3 linked regions of the Ovis aries genome follow. The protein of the gene in region 3 interacts with the protein of the main gene of each other region in a pairwise test. Links are inferred from orthologs where the notes say so. Each region holds a gene or a part of one and is shown on either strand. Other genes may lie near its edges. The genes, in order: SERTAD1, TSGA10 and ZNF410.

What was found.
Region 1: the proteins of ZNF410 (region 3) and SERTAD1 interact in binary tests that used the Homo sapiens proteins (3 or more experiments, as listed by UniProt). The two-hybrid records come from large-scale screens. The link is inferred for Ovis aries from reciprocal best matches to the Homo sapiens genes ZNF410 and SERTAD1.
Region 2: the proteins of ZNF410 (region 3) and TSGA10 interact in binary tests that used the Homo sapiens proteins (3 or more experiments, as listed by UniProt). The two-hybrid records come from large-scale screens. The link is inferred for Ovis aries from reciprocal best matches to the Homo sapiens genes ZNF410 and TSGA10.

Annotation. Positions count from the first base shown.
Region 1 is NC_056067.1:49,177,260-49,183,567, reverse strand, and holds SERTAD1 (SERTA domain-containing protein 1), read left to right. Parts: upstream 1-2,353; 5' UTR 2,354-2,479; intron 2,480-4,167; coding exon 4,168-4,887; 3' UTR 4,888-5,221; downstream 5,222-6,308. UniProt on the Homo sapiens protein: Acts at E2F-responsive promoters as coregulator to integrate signals provided by PHD- and/or bromodomain-containing transcription factors. Stimulates E2F1/TFDP1 transcriptional activity.
Region 2 is NC_056056.1:102,254,504-102,260,074, reverse strand, and holds part of TSGA10 (testis-specific gene 10 protein), read right to left. Parts: intron 2,976-5,571; coding exon 2,766-2,975; intron 14-2,765; coding exon 1-13. UniProt on the Homo sapiens protein: Plays a role in spermatogenesis. When overexpressed, prevents nuclear localization of HIF1A.
Region 3 is NC_056060.1:83,364,431-83,370,538, reverse strand, and holds the start of ZNF410 (zinc finger protein 410), read right to left. Parts: upstream 4,147-6,108; 5' UTR 4,092-4,146; intron 1-4,091. UniProt on the Homo sapiens protein: Transcription factor that binds to the sequence motif 5'-CATCCCATAATA-3', and is specifically required to silence expression of fetal hemoglobin in adult erythroid cells.

The sequences.
Region 1 (6,308 bases), on a different chromosome or scaffold from region 3:
CAGTGCCTGGCACATGGAAAGTGCTCAATTCATTTGTTTTCATACTTCTTTTCTCTTTCCACTCCATCCATTCCTTGTTCCATGAGAAGAGAGACTCTGTGAGGCGTATCAAGTGCTGTGCCCCCATTGTCTACAACTGCCCACCACATATTAGGTGCTCAATAAACACACACTAATCAGATGCCTATGAGCTCTTCTTCTCTTTATGACCTGGAAAGAGCCACTTGGATGGAGACTCTGAGTCTCTTTTTTCCAGGCCAAAAAGATAATTATGTGAGTTTGCCTAACAGGGGCCTGGTTCTAATTAGCATTTTACCCTTCATTCATTTTGAAAAATTTCAAGCACAAAAAAAAAAGAAAGAAAAAAAAGTATGTCTTCTGAGCACTTGAATACCCTCTCACCTAGATTTAGTTGTTAACATTCTGTTTCCTTTATTTGAATATGTGTATGTATATGTGTCTGTTTTTTTCTTTTGCTGAACCACTGGAGAGTATATTGCAGACATCTGAATGTTGTACCTCTAATAGCTCAGCAGGCATCTCTTAAGATTAAGGACGATCAACTACAAACCACAGTCCTATTTCACATGTGACAGAATTAAGAATTTCAGAATATCACCTAGTATCCAACCTATATTCAAATCTGCCCAATTTTCTCAAGAACACCCTTTGTAGAATTTACCACAAACTAGAGTCACTTTCACTTTTCACTTTCATGCATTGGAGAAGGAAACGGCAACCCGCTCCAGTATTCTTGCCTGGAGAATCCCAGGGATAGAGGAGCCTGGTGGGCTGCCGTCTATGGGGTCACACAGAGTCCGACACGACTGAAGCGACTTAGCAGCAGCAGCAGCAGCAGCAGAGTCTAAGGGAGGTTCACATGCCTATTTGGTTGTAACAAAGAAATTATACAGTATCTTTTATTCTGGAACATCCACCCCCTAACCTCACTAATCCCTTTCTGTGGTTTCTTGAAGTTGGATTTTTGGAAGAACAACCCAGCCTTGCTGTAGACTTCCCACACTGTGTATTTGTCTGACTGTTTTTGTGTTTAATATTGTCGCTCTCTGTTCCCTGTATGCTGAAGTTTGGGCCTAGACACTTGAGACTCACTTTATGAAATGTAACAGGGAAGCTCCACAACGAAGGTTGTGTACTGCCTAATGCATCACGTCAGGCACCACCCAGTGTCCGGGCATCCTGCAGCTGTGGATGCAAAGTTTCATTATATAGTTAAGGTGCTGAGCTCCTCCTCTTCCCATCATAAAAGGATATTTCCCCCTTTGCAGTTAGCAAGGAATTTGTGGGATGATGCTTTGGAAACTGTCGAGATCCTGTTCCCCATTAACTTTCACCCCAAAGGGTGAGCATCTATTGAAAATGGTTGTCTGAATCACGTAGTTGAGTTAGCATTTTTGATAGCTTACTTTGGTCAGAAGATTTATTCACAAACAGTTCTTCCCCTTAGCGAATGAGGAATTAGCAAATGAGGTATTTGAAGAAGGTAAGTCCCATTGTCAGTTTATCTGACGTGTATTAAACTCCTGTCCACGTGCACCCCACCGTGAATGTCTCCCCTTGAACTGAGCACCTGTGGTATTACTACAACAGCCATTACTAATGAAAAAAGACACCTAACACACCACTCAGCATTGTGCAGGAATTGTTTAATCCTCAAAACAATCCTCTGCGTCAGAGGCTATTTCTCTCATTTTAAAAATAAGTGAGAAAACCTAAAGAATTAAAGCACTTGGTCAAGGTCACACAGCTATTGTACTTACGGAATGGAGCCCAGGAAGGGACTCCAGTGCCATTCCACTCCCTACCCCTAACTCCTGTCTGTAATCACAGGACAGAGTCCAACTACCCAGAATTTGCTTATATAGTGCTCTTACAGATAATACCTTACTTGAAGTTTCCCAACTCTCAAGAGGTAGGCAAAAAGATCCCCCTTTAACAGACTCTGTGGGCTCAAAAACCAGAATTTGAATCCAGGACTAAGCTGGCCTAGAGTGTAGACCTCTGTTGGGGCTGCTAGCGTAAGCTCAATTATTGGGTTTGACAAGTGCAGATGTGATGCAGATGTGGCCAGATGTGAGGGGGCCCACAGCTTGAGAGACAAAAACTCCACCGCGCCACCGTCCTACAGGGCCAAGAGCCACCCTATCTTCCTCCCTCCCTTCAAGCAGCCTCCCGGACATGCGCCCTAAAGACAACTCGCCTCTTTCTAGCCTGCTTTGTACAGGCTCCGCCCATCACCGTCTAGGACCAATCCCTGGGTGAAGGGTGGGGCTGCCACGGGAGTGGGCGGTAACTAAGGGGAGTCAGGAGCCGGGAGTCGTGAGCTGGAGTCAGAACTGCGTCTCTCAACCCAGGTGCCGGTTGCTGAAGCAGAGCGGGCGAGCAATGCTGCCGCCACCGCTTCCTGATTGGCTGCGGGTGGCTCCCTCTTCTTTCTGATTGGCAGCTGGTGAACTAGGTATGTAAATGAAGGGAAGAGGCCTGGGGAAAGAGGGGTACTGGCCGCGGGGTTCTTTGGCAGGTTCGATCCCCCGGTCCGGCAGGTGCGCGCCAGGGCTGTCCGGGATCGAGGCGCACGGGCCTCTCCGTGCCGCCCGCCCGGGCCTGGCGGGTGAATCACACCGCAGCCCGGGAAGGGGGCGGAGGCGCCGGCTCCCTGGCTCCGGCTGCGTGACTCACCCGCCCCCGCCGCCGCCGCCGCTTCGGGAGGAGTAGCCTCCACTGCCTTCCGGAAGCGAGCGGAGGCCGAGAGGGCAGAACGGCCCTCCGGGGATCCCGGCCCGCACGGTCCCTGGTGGCAAGCAGAAATGACCACGTCCCGCGGGGCACTGTAAAGAGTCCTGGGGTCTGGAGAGTCGGAATCCCCGGGGAAAGCCGGCCTGGCTCCGCCAGGGGGCGCCGGGGCCAGAGGGGCGGAGTCGGGAGTGGGGGCTGAATTCCTGCGGTTCCGGACTCTCGGATTTGCTGGGAAGGAGGCGAGGACCCAGTTTTGAGTAGTGTGAGAGGGTCACTCTTGAAGTTCTCCTGGGCAAGGATCTGGGTGCTATACCCTACAGGCTGCCTGGCTTAAAAAAAGCAGGTTGGGTCAGGGGCACCCACCCCGGGGAAAGTGTGGGTCTTCAAACTTCTCTCCGTGACCCCCGTGCCCATCAGGATTTTCCGGCAAGCTTTGTCCACGCTGTCTCTCAAATAAATCCTGAAGCGACCATCTTCCTTCCATGCCCACTGCCACCTTATGCTCCCAAGTCACCGTCTTCGCCTACCCCAAAGACTGCAGTAGCCTCCGAAAGGATCTCAGGGCCGCTCTCCCCTCCCCTCCTCGCTCCCCCTTCCTCTTAGCAGCCAAGGGGATCTTCTGGAAACCTAATCAGTCCACAACACCACTGTCCTCCCTGCTCAAACCCCTTCAGTGGCTTCCCACCACACCCCCCAATAAAATCCAAGCTCCTTGCCTCTGCCTACTCTCGAACCCCCACATCCTCCGTACTCCACCCTCAACCCCCAACCCCCGCACTGACTACAGAGTCCTTTTTCAGCTCAGACTCATCCAGTCTCTAGGCTTTTCTTTGCCTTTGCTGTTCTTTATTCCCAGAATGCCTTCCCCCTGGTTCTTCCATGGCTGATTCTTTCTCGTACTTGAGGGCTCATTTCAGATGTCACCTCCTCAGGGGAGCCTTCCCTGACCACTCTCCAGAAACTTTTAGCATCTTCCTAGCACCATCCGTACATTTCTTGTGTTTGTTTATTGTCTGATGCTATTAGTAGACACTCAGTAAATATTAGATTAAACCATGTGAAACAACTGCTTTTGTAGGTTTTAAAAAAAAAGTTGAATATTGGACATTTCACACTGGACTCTTCATGTTAGCCATTTCACATAGTTCATTGAAGAAATAGATAATAGTTATTATCAATAGTACTTATTTACAGGAGTAATTGCTGTGTACCAGACACTGTCCAAAGTGCTTTTTAAAATCTCATTTATTCCTTAAAACAACTCTAGGAAGTAGATACAATTATCATCAATGTCTTAAAGCTTCCCCAAGAAAACGTAGGCTCAGAGAGGTTAAGTGCTTTGCCCAAGATCACACAGCAATGGTCAGAACTTCACACTGGCTTTCCATAACTGAATGACTCTTCCCACAGATGATGCTGAGCAAGGGCCTGAAGCGAAAGCGGGAGGAGGAGGAGGAGGAGGAGAAGGAAACCCTGGCAGTGGACGCCTGGTGGCTGGATCCCAGCCACTCAGCAGTAGCTCAGGCACCCCCAGCTGTAGCCTCCAGTTCTCTCTTTGACCTTTCGGTGCTCAAGCTCCATCACAGCCTGCGGCAGAGTGAGCCGGACCTGCGGCACCTGGTGCTGGTAGTGAACACACTGCGGCGAATCCAGGCATCCATGGCACCCACGGCTGCCCTGCCACCTGTGCCCACCCCACCTACAGCCCCCAGCGTGGCTGACAACCTGCTGGCCAGCTCTGATGCTGCCCTCTCAGCCTCCATGGCCAGCCTTCTGGAGGACCTCAGCCATATTGAGGGCCTGAGCCAGGCCCCACAGCCCCTGGTAGATGAGGGGCCACTAGGCCGCCCTGCCGGGGGAGCCTCACCCAGCCTGGGCGCCTTGGACCTGCTGGGCCCAGCCACTGGCTGTCTGCTGGACGATGGGCTCGAGGGCCTGTTTGAGGACATTGACACGTCCATGTATGACAGTGAACTCTGGGCACCAGTCTCTGAGGGCCACAAATCCAGCCCTGAAGATGGACCAGGCAAGGAGGTAGGTCCAGATCTGGACGAGGCCGAGCTGGACTACCTCATGGACGTGCTGGTGGGCACACAGGCGCTGGAGCGACCACCGGGGCCAGGGCGTTGACCCCTCTGGGCCGGGATGTTGATCTGATGTCCAAACTGAGCCTGCTGGCTGGACCAACTCTCCTTGGAAAGACACAGCTGGCTTCCCTTGAGAGGGGCTTTGGAGAGAAAGAATCCAGTCCTGGGCAACTTCACCTCCATCCTCTTGTCTCTGACTGATGGGGAGGGGAGTCTGGGATTGGCCCTTGTGATGAAATGACAGGGCCTGGTGGCTGGAATGTGATTGGACTAGGTCCTGTGCTGAATCCCTGGAGGCACAGCCTGGTATACATTTGCGTCGATGGGGGAAGAGACCCCAACCTGTTTTTTGAAATTAAAGCCAGTCCTGGAAAGTCTGAAGTGTGTGTACTGCTTTGTTTCTGGGCCAAGGCACTGGTGAGGGTGGTAGAAAACCTCTAGCATTTATCAAGCGAGGACTGTGCACGCAGCAAGTTCTAAGCACTTGACGTGTGCTGATTTAATCCTCATAACAAGATGGGCATGTCATTATCCTCATTTTACAGTTGAGAAAACTGAGGATCCAAGAAGTCAACTCTTAGGGAGATAAGTTTCAAACTTTACTGTTTTTTGGTCTGAGAAGCAGACCAATTAGGTCTGGAAACTGGCTCTCTAGAAAACTTCTGGAATATACTCAGTCAGGTCTCCCCATGTGCCTGTGTGTGTACCTAATGGTGGTGGGTGGTGGTGGAGGAGGAGGAGCCCCAGGCCACTGTTGAAAAATGAAATCTAGACCTTGCCTGGAGTCTACCTGCGTGTCTTGGAGTTGGGGGTGCAGAAGGAGCTTTCAGAATGAACCAGAAATAAAAGCACAAAGCTGAAGGCTGGATGCAGCCTCTCCTCTGAGCGCAGAGAACCAGTTCTCTGGGAAAATGGTGAAAGAAAGACTCCAGGAAGTTTTAAACAAAATCCACTCCAGGTCTCAAATCTCTCTTTGGGCTAGGGATAAGGCAGCTTCCGGAAGCCGATTCCGAAATAAAGCCACTAAGTGTGGTGGCTTGACAGAAAGAACGGCAAGGGATCCTGCTTTCGTTCTAGAAGAAACTCGGAGCCCCAGCGGGCTGGGGCCACCTGCCTGACAGGCCTGTGCGATAGGGCCGGCCTGAGCGCCGGGTGTCTGCGCCGCCCCCGCCGTCCAGCCGCATTCCTGGCCCGGCTGGGAGGGGCCGCACACTCAGAGGCCTGGCACGGGACCCAGGCGGCGTCCTTCCTGGCGGCCGTGGGGGCAGGGCCGCGCCCGGGGTACCGGAGGGGGGAGGGGCACGGGGAACGCGGCATCGGGGGAGGGCGGAGGCAGGCGGGGGAGGGGCGCAGGGTGACCTGCGCCGACTGGCTGGGCCTCGGATGCGGGAAGCCCCGGCAAAGGGACACTTCAAATCGTGGGGCCCGGGTGCCTCCACTCTGGCCGGAAGCTACGGGGAGGCT
Region 2 (5,571 bases), on a different chromosome or scaffold from region 3:
ACTCATTCTCCATCTGCACAATGATAGGAAGATATCTATACTTATTCCCACTTGTTCACTTAACTCATGTATTATCAGAGACTCATAAAATTTCTCTGTTATGAACTGACAATCACGTTTAATTTCTAGATTTGAAATTGTGTCCTTCTTAGCAGATAAATGCACACACACACAGTATCACTTCCCAACTCTCTGATAGTATCAGAAGGTTTGTTAATTTAAGAGTTATTAATCCCAAATGTCAAACAATTTCCATGTCCAGCTTTGAAATTTCTTATATTTTTGCAAGACTGACATGGTAGTATCTGCGACTACTGCTTTGTCCGAGTTGGGTGAGTTATAAATGCCTAACTTCCTAATGGAATGTCATCATACTCCACGGTTAAGAAAGATAAGGAGTAATCACACATTCCCTCTCTTGTATGGTCCTATGGAACACTTCACTTTTTGAAGGTTATCTTGAGCCTAAAATATATTCTGTAAGCCAAATGCTTCTCCAAAAGGAGGGAAACCAGACATCAGTATTTAGAAAAAAAAAAATTCTTTATCTCATAATGCACATTATAATAAATTATATATATATTTAAAAATTTAATGTAAAACTCTGAGAAAAGAAAGTTTAATAAAAATGAATTATTAGGAGAGGGGCAGGCAGGTAGGGTAACAACTTTTTAGACTAGATACAGTTAAAAATGATGTCTGACCATAGCAAAAATAAACATATCTACAGTCATTATAAACAACCAAAATTTGAGGGAAAAAAACAGATGAAAATAAACTCAGTAAATAGTTATAGCTTACTAATAAAAGGAATATAAACTAATTCATGAGAAATATGAATTAATGAACAGAAAATTTACAAAATATAGCCAGCTAATTAGTAAACATAGAGAATAATATATCTTGTATTAATAATCAAAGAAGCATAACTTAAAGCAAAATGGTATCTGTAATCCAGGATTTCTTCACCTTTACCCTACTGATCTTTTGTGCTGGGTAATTGTTTGGTATAGGGAGCTGCCCTGTGCCTTACAGGATACTGAGCAGCATCCCTGGCCTCTACTTACTAGAGGTCTACAGCACCCCTCAACCCTGGTGTGACATTCAAAAATACCTCCAGACGTTGCTGAATATTCAGAGGAGAAAAACCTCTTTCGGTTGAACCAATGCTGCAGTTTATTAAATTGGCAAATGTCTTAATGCGTGTTGATTAACATTAAAATAGGCAATGCTGGCGGAATACAAAATGGAGCATCACTTTTTTGGCAGCAGCTTCATTGGGATGTAATTCACATACCATACAACTTGCCCATTTAAATTAGGTACAAGTCAATGGTTTTTAGTATACTGGGTTGACCAAAAAGTCTGTTTGAGTTTTTCTGTAACACCCCTTATGGAAAAACTCAAACTCTTCGGCCAACACAGTATTAACAGAGTTATGTGATCATACCACATTCTCATAGTTTATTGTTAGAACATTTTCATCATCCCAAAATGGAACCCAGTACACATTAGCAGTCACTCCCTTACCTCTGCCCCAGCACTAGCCCTAGGCAATAACTCATCTATTTTCTATGATCTGCTTTATTTTGAACATTTCACATAAATGGAAACATACTGTGTGTGTGTGTGTGTGTGGTGTGTGTGTGTGTGTGTGGTCTTACATGACTGACTTCCTTCACTTAGTGTAATGTTTTCAAGAGTTCTCCATGTTTTAGCAGCTATCAATCCTTCATTACTGCTACTGCCAAATAATATTCCCTTGCATAGATGTAGGAATATTTGAGTTATTTACACTTCTTAGCAATTATGAAGAATGCTGCTAAGGACAATTGTGTATCCGTTTTTACATGGAACTTCTTACAGAAGCCAACAAGACACATCATTCTCGAATGCATCATATCATCCTAACAAGCAGTAGGCTAACAAAATAAGGAGTTCAACACAGTGTGATAATAACAGAAATGTAAACGTAGCCAAAACGTGTTGATATTTCAATTATACTATGCAACTTTAACATACATCCTTTTAGGATTCAGGTCCCATCTATTTCTTCAGATGCATCTCAGTCACTTGTGCATGCTACACTGGCCACTGCAAATGACTTACTGCTCACTCCAGAGTTTATTTATACCTCCATACCATTGCCTAAGCTATTCCCTCATTCCTTTTGAGTTCAGTAGTACACCCTTATGAACTCCTCTCCGACACCCACAGGCCAATGGGAATTTCCTCTCTGAAACCTTCAGCATTTCTTATTAGTATCACATTCACCCCAAATTATTTGTATGTCAATACCAGGAGGTCTTTGAGAGAGGGGGACTGTACCTTTTGAGCATTATATTCACATGGCAAGCATGATGGCAGGCATCAGGCACACGACAGATAAAATGAAGTGAATTACAGTTGAAAAGAACTCAGCCAAACAGTAAATTTAACTTTAAACAATATCATTAAAATTATAATTTAGCTAGATAAACCTCAACCTTGCGGTTCTTTGCTGACTGATATGTCAGTGTGCTTTATCATTCTTTTGACTAAAAGTAAATGCAGAGCACACAAAGGAAGAGTCTCTGTTATGGTCCTGAATGGTTTGCAACACAACAGAAATCAATATCCTGGACTTTAAAAATAAAATCTAAAGTTGAAAGACATACCTTTGCTGTAGCATTTTGTTTTAAAAAAAAAAGTTTGTTTTCCTAAAATAACAAAAATTTTACAGTGATAGCATTATTAAAAGAACCATTTAGAAATGTATGACGTACCATTTCTATCTCTTGATCTTTAGCAACCAGCTGTCGATTAAGAAGTTCTTTGCTTGAGTCAAGTTTAATGCAAAGTTCCCTTGTAGAAGACAAATCTGCAAGGGCAGACACTTTTTCAAACTGAACCTTCTGAAGCTCCTCTTCCATCTTTACAACAGACTTATGTAAAGTAGCAATCTGGGACTTGTAAGACCGTTCTGCATTTAAGTGCTGCAAGGACAAATTATTATATATTTTTTAATGTGGGAAAAACCCACGACACAGAAAACAAAGCGAGGCAAATCTTTTAATGACAGTACTTTTAGATTACAAGGAACTTTCTCTCTCTCTTTTTTTTTTTTTTTTTTGCTTTGCCAAACAGCACGTGGGATCTTAATTCCCCAACCTGGGATCAAACCCATACCTCCTGCAGTGGAAGCATGTATCCTGAACCATGGGACAGGGAATGGTAAAGGACATTCCATGAAGTGGTAAAGGACAGGGAAGTCCCTATAAAGAACTATAGTTGATATAGATGGTAAGAGCACGTACAAAACATTCTGGGAAAGATAAATTCCGGTTTCAAATTTTCATATACAAAATCCATGAGTAAAGTGGTCAGCTGATCATTCTTTTTAATGTACTGAGAAAACAACTTAGAAGTCTCAGCCCCAAAGCTAGTTGAGATATATATATATCTTTGTAGTTCTGTCTATATTTGCCACAGTTACAATTATTCTATAATGTAAATATTGTTGCTATTAAAGATAAAACATTAGCCACTCTTTCATTCACTATGCCTACTTCTCCATTCTTGAATTACATGCTGATATGGATCATAATTTCATAAAATGAGGACTGATAACTCTCTAACACTTACTAATACCTCTGAGGGAAAAAGACTGGATAACTATAAATTAAGGATATATCCATATTAGATAAAATGAGAGCATGTTTTAAACACTGTAATATGAGATTCAAGTTATATAAATGCTTTCAAATATTCAAGATAATCCCCCCCTTTTTTTCAGAAAAAGTTCTTATGTAAGTGCACTGCCACCTACAGAGAAGTATTTGCTATTATATGAGGCTAAGAGAACTAAGAGGCAAGCAAAGAAATTTTTCTGATTTTATAAGTGTTTTCACAAGTACAACACACAAAAAATTGCTCCTGGAATAAGTTATTTGGCCAAAATACACTCCTTTCTCCTCTCCTTCCTTCCTCACTCATACAATTACTCACACATTCTTCAAACAAACTTCTATCCATCCATCCACCCTACTCATCCACCTATCCATCCATTCCATACATACTTTTTATGTATATTCTATGTTCCAACAATGTGCCTAGATGCATAGCCAATGGTAATGGTCTTTGTTCTCATGAGGCTTCCAGACTATGGGGGAATCACAGTCAATAAGATAATCATAAAGATGAATATGTAGATACAGATTAGGCAAACATTCTAGAGAAAAAAACTGTAACACAGGGAAGGGACCTAGACTGAGAGGATCAGGGAAGTCAAGAAAGCCTTCTCTGAGTTAATGGCACTTGAACCGAGATCTGAAAAGCAAATGGATACACAATGTGTGAGGGGAAGGTGGCTTTTCAAGTTGGAGGATGCCAAGTGTGAAGCAAGAGCAGAGAAAAGGCTCCTTCCTATGTCTCGAGCTCAGAGACCACAGAAAAGAGTGAAAAGAGACACAGTTGAAAACACATACAACTTACAAAACAAAGCCTGGTAACCCAGGTATCAACAAAATCTAGGTCTTTACCTCCACTGAAAGATATTACAGAGGAGGTTATTGCGATCAGTTTTGAAAAGAATGTATGGAATGTTTCAGGTTCTAGTAAAATTGCTGATTAAGCTAAGAGGAAAATCTTCTGGATGAAATAGAATAAAAAATTATTTTTGCAATTTATAGCTGAACTTGTAGGTAAGAAAGAGAAATTCTCACATGCCAAAAACAAAGAAAATGAGTCAAGATCAGCTGGTAACAAATGTGCCAAAGCTAGGGACAAAGTTTGAGCCTGTGAAAGTGAAAAGTTCTTAGTGAACACCCTGGTGGTTCATTGTTTAGTTGCTAAGTCGTGGCCGACTGTGCAACCCCGTGGACTATAGCACACCAGGCTTTCCTGTCCTTTATTATCTCCTGGAGTTTGCTCAGATTCACGTCCGTTGAGTCGGTGATGTTATCTAACCATCTCATCTTCTGCCACCCTCTTCTCCTTTTGCCTCCAACCTTTCCCAGCATCAGGGTCTTTTCCAATGAGTAAGCTCTTTGCATTAGGTGGCCAAAGTATTGGAGCTTCACCATCAGTCCTTCCAATGAATATTCAGGCTTGACTGCCTTGAGGATTGACTGCTTTGATCTCCTTGCAGTCCAAGGGACTCTCAAGAGTCTTCTCCAATACAACAGTTTGAAAGCATCAATTCTTTAGCACTCAGCCTTCTTTATGGTCCGCATCTCACATCCATACATGACTACTGGGAAAACCATAGCTTTGATTATTCGGACCTTTGTTGGAAAAGTGATGTCTTTGCTTTTTAATGTGCTGTCTAGATTTGTCACAGTTTTCCTTCCAAGGAGCAAGAGTCTTTGAATTTCATGGCTGCAGTCACTGTTCACAGTGATTTTGGAACCAAATAAAATAAAATCTGCCCTTGTTTCCATTTTTTCCTCCTCTATTTGGCATGAAGTGATGGGACTGGATGCCATGATCTCAGTTTTTTTTAAGTTGAGTTTTAAGTCAGCTTTTTCACTCTCTTCTTTCACCCTCATTAAGAAACTCTTTAGTGTAGAACACCCTGGACTGGGCATTTAA
Region 3 (6,108 bases):
TTAACTAAATGTTAATGATAAAGTGGTAATGAGGACTGATCAAAGACATCAAGAACACAGAATGGTGAAGCCAGAATGAATTTCAGAAACTGTAACGTTCATCCTGGGCCTTCCTTCTTCTCTTCCTGGGATGTTCTGGGGTGCCCCATTCCTATGGCCCTGATTTTTATTCCAGTCACCTCCCCATTTCTCTGCAATCCTTCAGAGACAAATTTAAAGCCAATGATCTTCATGCTGCCAAATTCAATGGATACTTTACTGTTTTCATCTTACTTAAACTTTGCAAAGGACAACTATTATTTTTGATTGTTCCACATTCATTGCCCCTGTTTAGGTGACAGGATCCACATTTTGTTTGGGGATCTACCCCTCCCTCTCTGTATACATTCTTGGTGGGACTGTAGAATAAGGTGTTCTTTCCTATCTTAATCAACTGTTGGGCAGTCAACTGATTTGTTCATCAGATACTTTAACTTAGAACATGAACTCTAAAAGAAGTAACTAACTAAAAGGTGAAAACTGCTATAGCAACCTGTTCATTCCAGTACTGCAATCATCAGTCTTCCCCTGGGGATGCTCAGATTTCTGTCCTTTTCAAAGCCAGGGCCTTCAGCATTTCCTTTGATCCTGTGAGCTGCCCACATCCTTGTTATAAATTCCTCTTCTCCTCAAGTAAATTGGTCACTTGCAATCAGAGTCAGAACTGATATTTTCCCTTAGAAGCATTGCCTCCTTCCACAAACACTTTACTTACTCTCTTTTGCCTCTAAGATTCTCATTTTAATCCTACCTCATTGGCCACTCCTCCAGTCTTCTCTGATAACTCCTATATTCTTCCTCCACTCACCTTCTAAATACTAATGTTCCTCAGGAGTTTGCAGGCCCTCTTCTCTTACTACATTATATTCTCTTCCTAGTGTGAACACATGGCTTTAAATGACATGGTCTCCAAAATTTTAACCTATAGCCTAGATATCTCCTCTGAGCTACAAACTTGTACATATAATTGCTTATTTGACATCTCTACCTGATGTTATAATATCTCAAATTTAACATATTCAAAATGAATTCTCTTCCAACCCTGTTTCCCATTGTCCTCTGCCAGCCCCTCTGACCACAACCCTCGACACTCAAGGGAAGGCCATCATTCACCCCATTTAGAAGTTACTTTTATAACTTCTTTCCTTTGCTCCCAGTATGCAGTCCAGCTACAAGTCTGGACTTGAGTCTATCTCTAACCCACCTACTTCTACTGCCTCTACTCTACTCCAGGCCAACTCTTGCCTTAAAGTACCGTTACTGCCTCCTAACTGGTCTCCCTGCTTCTATTCTTTGCCTCCCTTCATTCTGTTCTCTTCGCATCATTCAATATCATCTTAAACTATGAATTTTCACATTTTCTTCATGTGGCTTCCCAATATATCTGGAAAATATCCAAAATCCTTATCCAGGCCTATAAGGACCTACATGATCCATTCCTGCCTCTCCAAAGACATTCCAGAGTTGTTCTCTATTACTTACTCACCAAGCTCCACCAAATGCCTCTCCCTTAGTTCCTTGAACACGTTTACCTCTTTCCTACGACAGTGATTTGCACGTGTCATTTCCTCTACCCAGGAATGCTTTCTCTTCTATTGGTTAGCTGTTTTTTCATTCTTCAGGGCTCTATTCAGCCATCAACTCACATAAAAAGGTTATGTATGCCTGATCACTTTATCCCAGGAAGGTTCCCCATAACCCCAGTTTTACTCTCTATCTATCCCTACTGTCTCCATTACAGCACCCATCACAATTTCTAATTCCTTTGTTTTTATATAGTATTCACTTTTTGTCTAGCTGTCATAAAAAAGGGCAAGCTTGTTTACAAATTGTAAGCTCCATAAACAAGGACAAGAACTTGTCTGTCTTGTTCACTACTTTATCTCCTAGCACCCAGAACCCATCACCTGGTGCCTGGCAGAGTACTGTATGTAATTCATAAGGAATTTAAGTCTCCAAGAGTCATTTTTGATACTATGAAGCTCCGAGACTGTCTTTTCTATGAGCTTTCAGGGCTTTTATGCAAGCTTCTCTGTAAGCAGCTAGTAGGCACTAAATAAACATTTGCATATTAAATGAACGACACCACAAATGATAACCAAATTTTTGTTGCTATTACTAACCTCTCTCTGAACTCCAAACTATTTCTAACTGCTTGCTAGGTATCCCCAAGTGGATGTTTATCTCAATTTTAACAATGTCCAAAATCCAGACTGTCATCTTCCCCACCAAACCTGTTCTTCTTCCCGTATTATCCATTTCAGTTATCGCCCAACGTTCCTCCCACTCAGCTACAAACTCTAGGTCTTGAACAATCTCTCTCATCCTCCAAATCTAAATAATCCCAGTGGTTCTGATTCCTCCAAATTTATTCCTACCAAAATGCACTGTTTAGGTTTTTCATTATCTTTCAACTCCAACATGAAAACAAGCTTCTAACTGGCCACCTTACCCTTAAAATTCCCCTTTCCAATCCATCTTTTATGCAGCCACTCGAGTTATCTTTCCAAAACACAGAGTTTATGTCACTTCCCTTGCCCAAAGTTCAGTGCCTCAGAATTAACAGTCAAATCCCTAAGCATGGCATTTTAAATATTCAACAGTATGTCCTCAAATACACTTTCAGTTAAAGCATCCACTATACTCAATGAATCCTTTTCTCCAGTACACACTGAACTGGCTACTAAATGAACACTCCAACCTATTTCAGTGTTCAAGATCTTTCCCTTGGGATAGTTCTTCAGTAATAAGACCCTCCAGTAATAAACGCTGCAATCCAGCTGTGATCTTTGAAATCCTTTCCTGTCTTCAAAATCTAACTCATATGCCATCCTCCATGAAGACTCATCTTTTCCCTCCAGTCAAAACAAATCTATCCTTCCCTGGTGTTGTCACAACACAGTTTAACCTCTCTTTAACAATTATCTCACCCTGCTTTGGGAGTTAGTTGTCTTTCAGCATGTTTTTCTCACTAGTTAAGGTTCACTGAATTTATTCATCCTCCCACTAACTCAGCACGGTGCTTGCACAAACTAAGCATTTAAGAAATATTTGCTGAATGAATAGGTAACCTTCATTTACAGGGGGTGTGGGTGGGGGTGTCAAAGCTAAAGATTAAGTAATTTGCAGAAAACGAGACCTCTACTTAGACGCAAAAATTTAAAGACTAGAACCTAAATCTTTTGAGCTTAGTTGACCTCACTATCTCATACGAAGACGGTGGAATTTTTCACTCCCTAACAATAACAAAATGCCCCTGGTTTTATTTTAAAATATTTCTTTCATCCTCTTTACAAATATGCTGCGTCGACCCTTGGGTCAAAATGAGGAGGAAGTACAAATTCTTAACTTCCAAGTTAATAATATTTAACTTTCAAATGAATCCTAAGTGCATTTCAGAGTCTCACGAGCAAGGGGGATAAACTTTAATAAACTAATTGAATTCTTTTCTCCGAAGAGACTTCAGAGGATAAATACAACCAGCGAAACGAATACAGGCGGTAAGCACTCACAGCCCCACACCCTCGCCTTCAAATGACACGCGAAAGAGAAGCCGGCGGCCCAGCCCCTCCGAGTCGGCAGTCTTTCTTCTTCTAGTCCCAGAAAGTGGACATATGGAAGAAGAGAGTAGATCTGGGGCTGAAATATCCAGGGCAGAGTCACCCTGGCATCATTGTTCCCCGACTACAACGGCCTAGTGAAGGGCCCCAAGGTTGGCGGGCGGGCCTCACTTGCGGGTGCTGTCTGGGAGCCCCCGCCCCGGGCACTCGCTGACTCTAGCTTTCTCAGGTCGGTCTTGTCCCCATATCCCTGGCCCCCAAACCAACTAAAGGAGCCGAAACACCGGCCCCAGAAGCCCTCGAGGAGAAAAGCCGAAGCCGTAGGGCTTCAGACCCGCCGCTCCAGATCCGGGTGGGGTGCCCCGGGGGCGGTTTCCCGGTCCTCTCCGGGGACAAAACTCGGCCCGCGCCCCCGAGAAGCCGGCACTGACTTCCTCCCTCTCGGAGACCACCCAGCCGAGCGGGTATGGTCGGGACCACCTCAGAACTCACCTTCCAGCCCCGGGCAGCAGTCCGTCCGTCAGTCGGTCCCGGATTCTGTCCACACAGAGCGTCTTCCGGCTCCTGCCGGAAGCAGTTCGAGCGCGGGACAGGAAGTTTGGCCGCCCCCACGCACACACCCACTCGCTTGCCTCCCAGCCCCGCGACTGTAGCGCCGAAGAGGGTTCCCGCCCGGTGGCCTCAGGCCTGCGCGGGCCAAGCTGGTGGCGCAGGGCTTGGCTCTGGAAGGGTAGGATCTGCACTCTCCCGCCTCCCACTCATTCCCTCTCGGCCTTTGTGGCTCCGTGGTCTGCGAAGCCCGAAAAAACGGGGTCAGTCAATTATAGTCGTGACGTCATTGCTTCCCTGCTGCAACGGACGGGGTAGTTTTTCCTGTCAGCTGAGATCAGTACAGGCTGCAGTGGAGGCAAGCGAGAAAGAAAAGATCACTACGTAAACATTTATCACAGTTCTCTGTGATCAGTGAAGAGGACTTTGAAGCTTAAGTGCCAGAGAAGGGAACTTCCAGAATAGTTCTGCACTGCATACCGGGCGGGGTAAAAAATTGAGACTCAGGTGTATAACTTTTTTTTGGAATGTGGATTCCTTAGTCTTCGTTCTGTCAGTACATTCGGATGTAAAGAGCTCTCGGATGTCCACAGGGGGCTAGAACCCTTGAGTTTCAGGCTGGATGCCACAACTTAGAGCTTTATGTGTCTGACTTGAGTTTTTGAGATTAGTAATTTTTGAATACTTGCTGGGTCCCAAAGGATGAAGGAGAGATTCAGCTAAGAGTGGTGTTCCAGCATGCTCAGCCGTGTCCAACTCTTTTGCGACCCCATGGACTGTAGCCCCACCAGGCTTCTCCAGGCAAGAATACTGGATTGGGTAGCCAGTTCCTTTGCCAGGGGATCTTCCCCACCCAGGGATCAAACCTGCATCTCTTGCATTAGCAGCCAGTTTCTTCACCACTGAGCCACCTGGGAATAAAAGGCATTTTCTAAGTAGGGCATTTTCAAGAATAGAGACAGAGTTGAAGAAACCAGTAATTTCCTACACAAAGGATGGTGATTTGAAAAGAAGCAACACCTTTCAAGGGAAGGTTCATTCCTCCCTAGATAAGCCGAGTTTATCTATCCCAGGTGCCTATGGGGTTCTTGTTCAGTTGCTCAGTTCTGTCAGACTCTGTGACCCCATGGCTGCCGGGCACCAGGCTTCCTGGTCCTTCACCATCTCCTGGAGTCCACTCAAACTCATGTCCATTGAGTCGGTGATGCCATCCAACCATCTCATCATCTGTTGTGCTCTTCTCCTTCTGCCTTCAATCTTTCCCAGCATCAGAGTCTTTTGCAATGAGTTGGCTCTTCACATCAGTATTAGAGCTTCAGCTTCAGCATCAGTCCTTCCAATGAATGTTCAGAGTTGATTTCCTTTAGGATTGATTGGTTTGATCTCTTTGCTGTCCAAGGGACTCTCAAGAGTCTTCCCCAGCACCACAGTTCGAAAGCATCAATTCTTCAGCACTCAGCCTTTTTTAATTGTCCAGCTCTCACATCCTTACATGACTACTAGAAAAACCATAGCTTTGACTATACAAACCTTTGTCGAAAGAGTAACATCTCTGCTTTTTAATATGCTGTCTAGGTTTGTCATAGCTTTTCTTCTAAGGAGCAAGCAGTATATTTACTTGGAAAGTGAAAGTGTTTGTCACTCAGTTGTGTCTGATTCTGCAATCCCATGGACTATAGCCTGCCAGGCTCCTCTGTCCATGGAATTCTCCAGGCAGAATACTGGAGTGGGTTACCATTCTCTTCTCCAGGGGAACTTCCTGACCCAGGGATCGAACCCAGGGTCTCTTGCATTGCAAGCAGATTCCTTACTGTCTGAGCCACCAGGGAAGGGCCTAGCTAGCTCAAGAGACTGGAAATAGAGATGAAGCTCTCTCTGGAGATGAAATAGAAAAGTATATACAACGGAAAGAACTGAAGGCCACTGAGGTCAACTGGAATGACTGATTACAACACAGTTC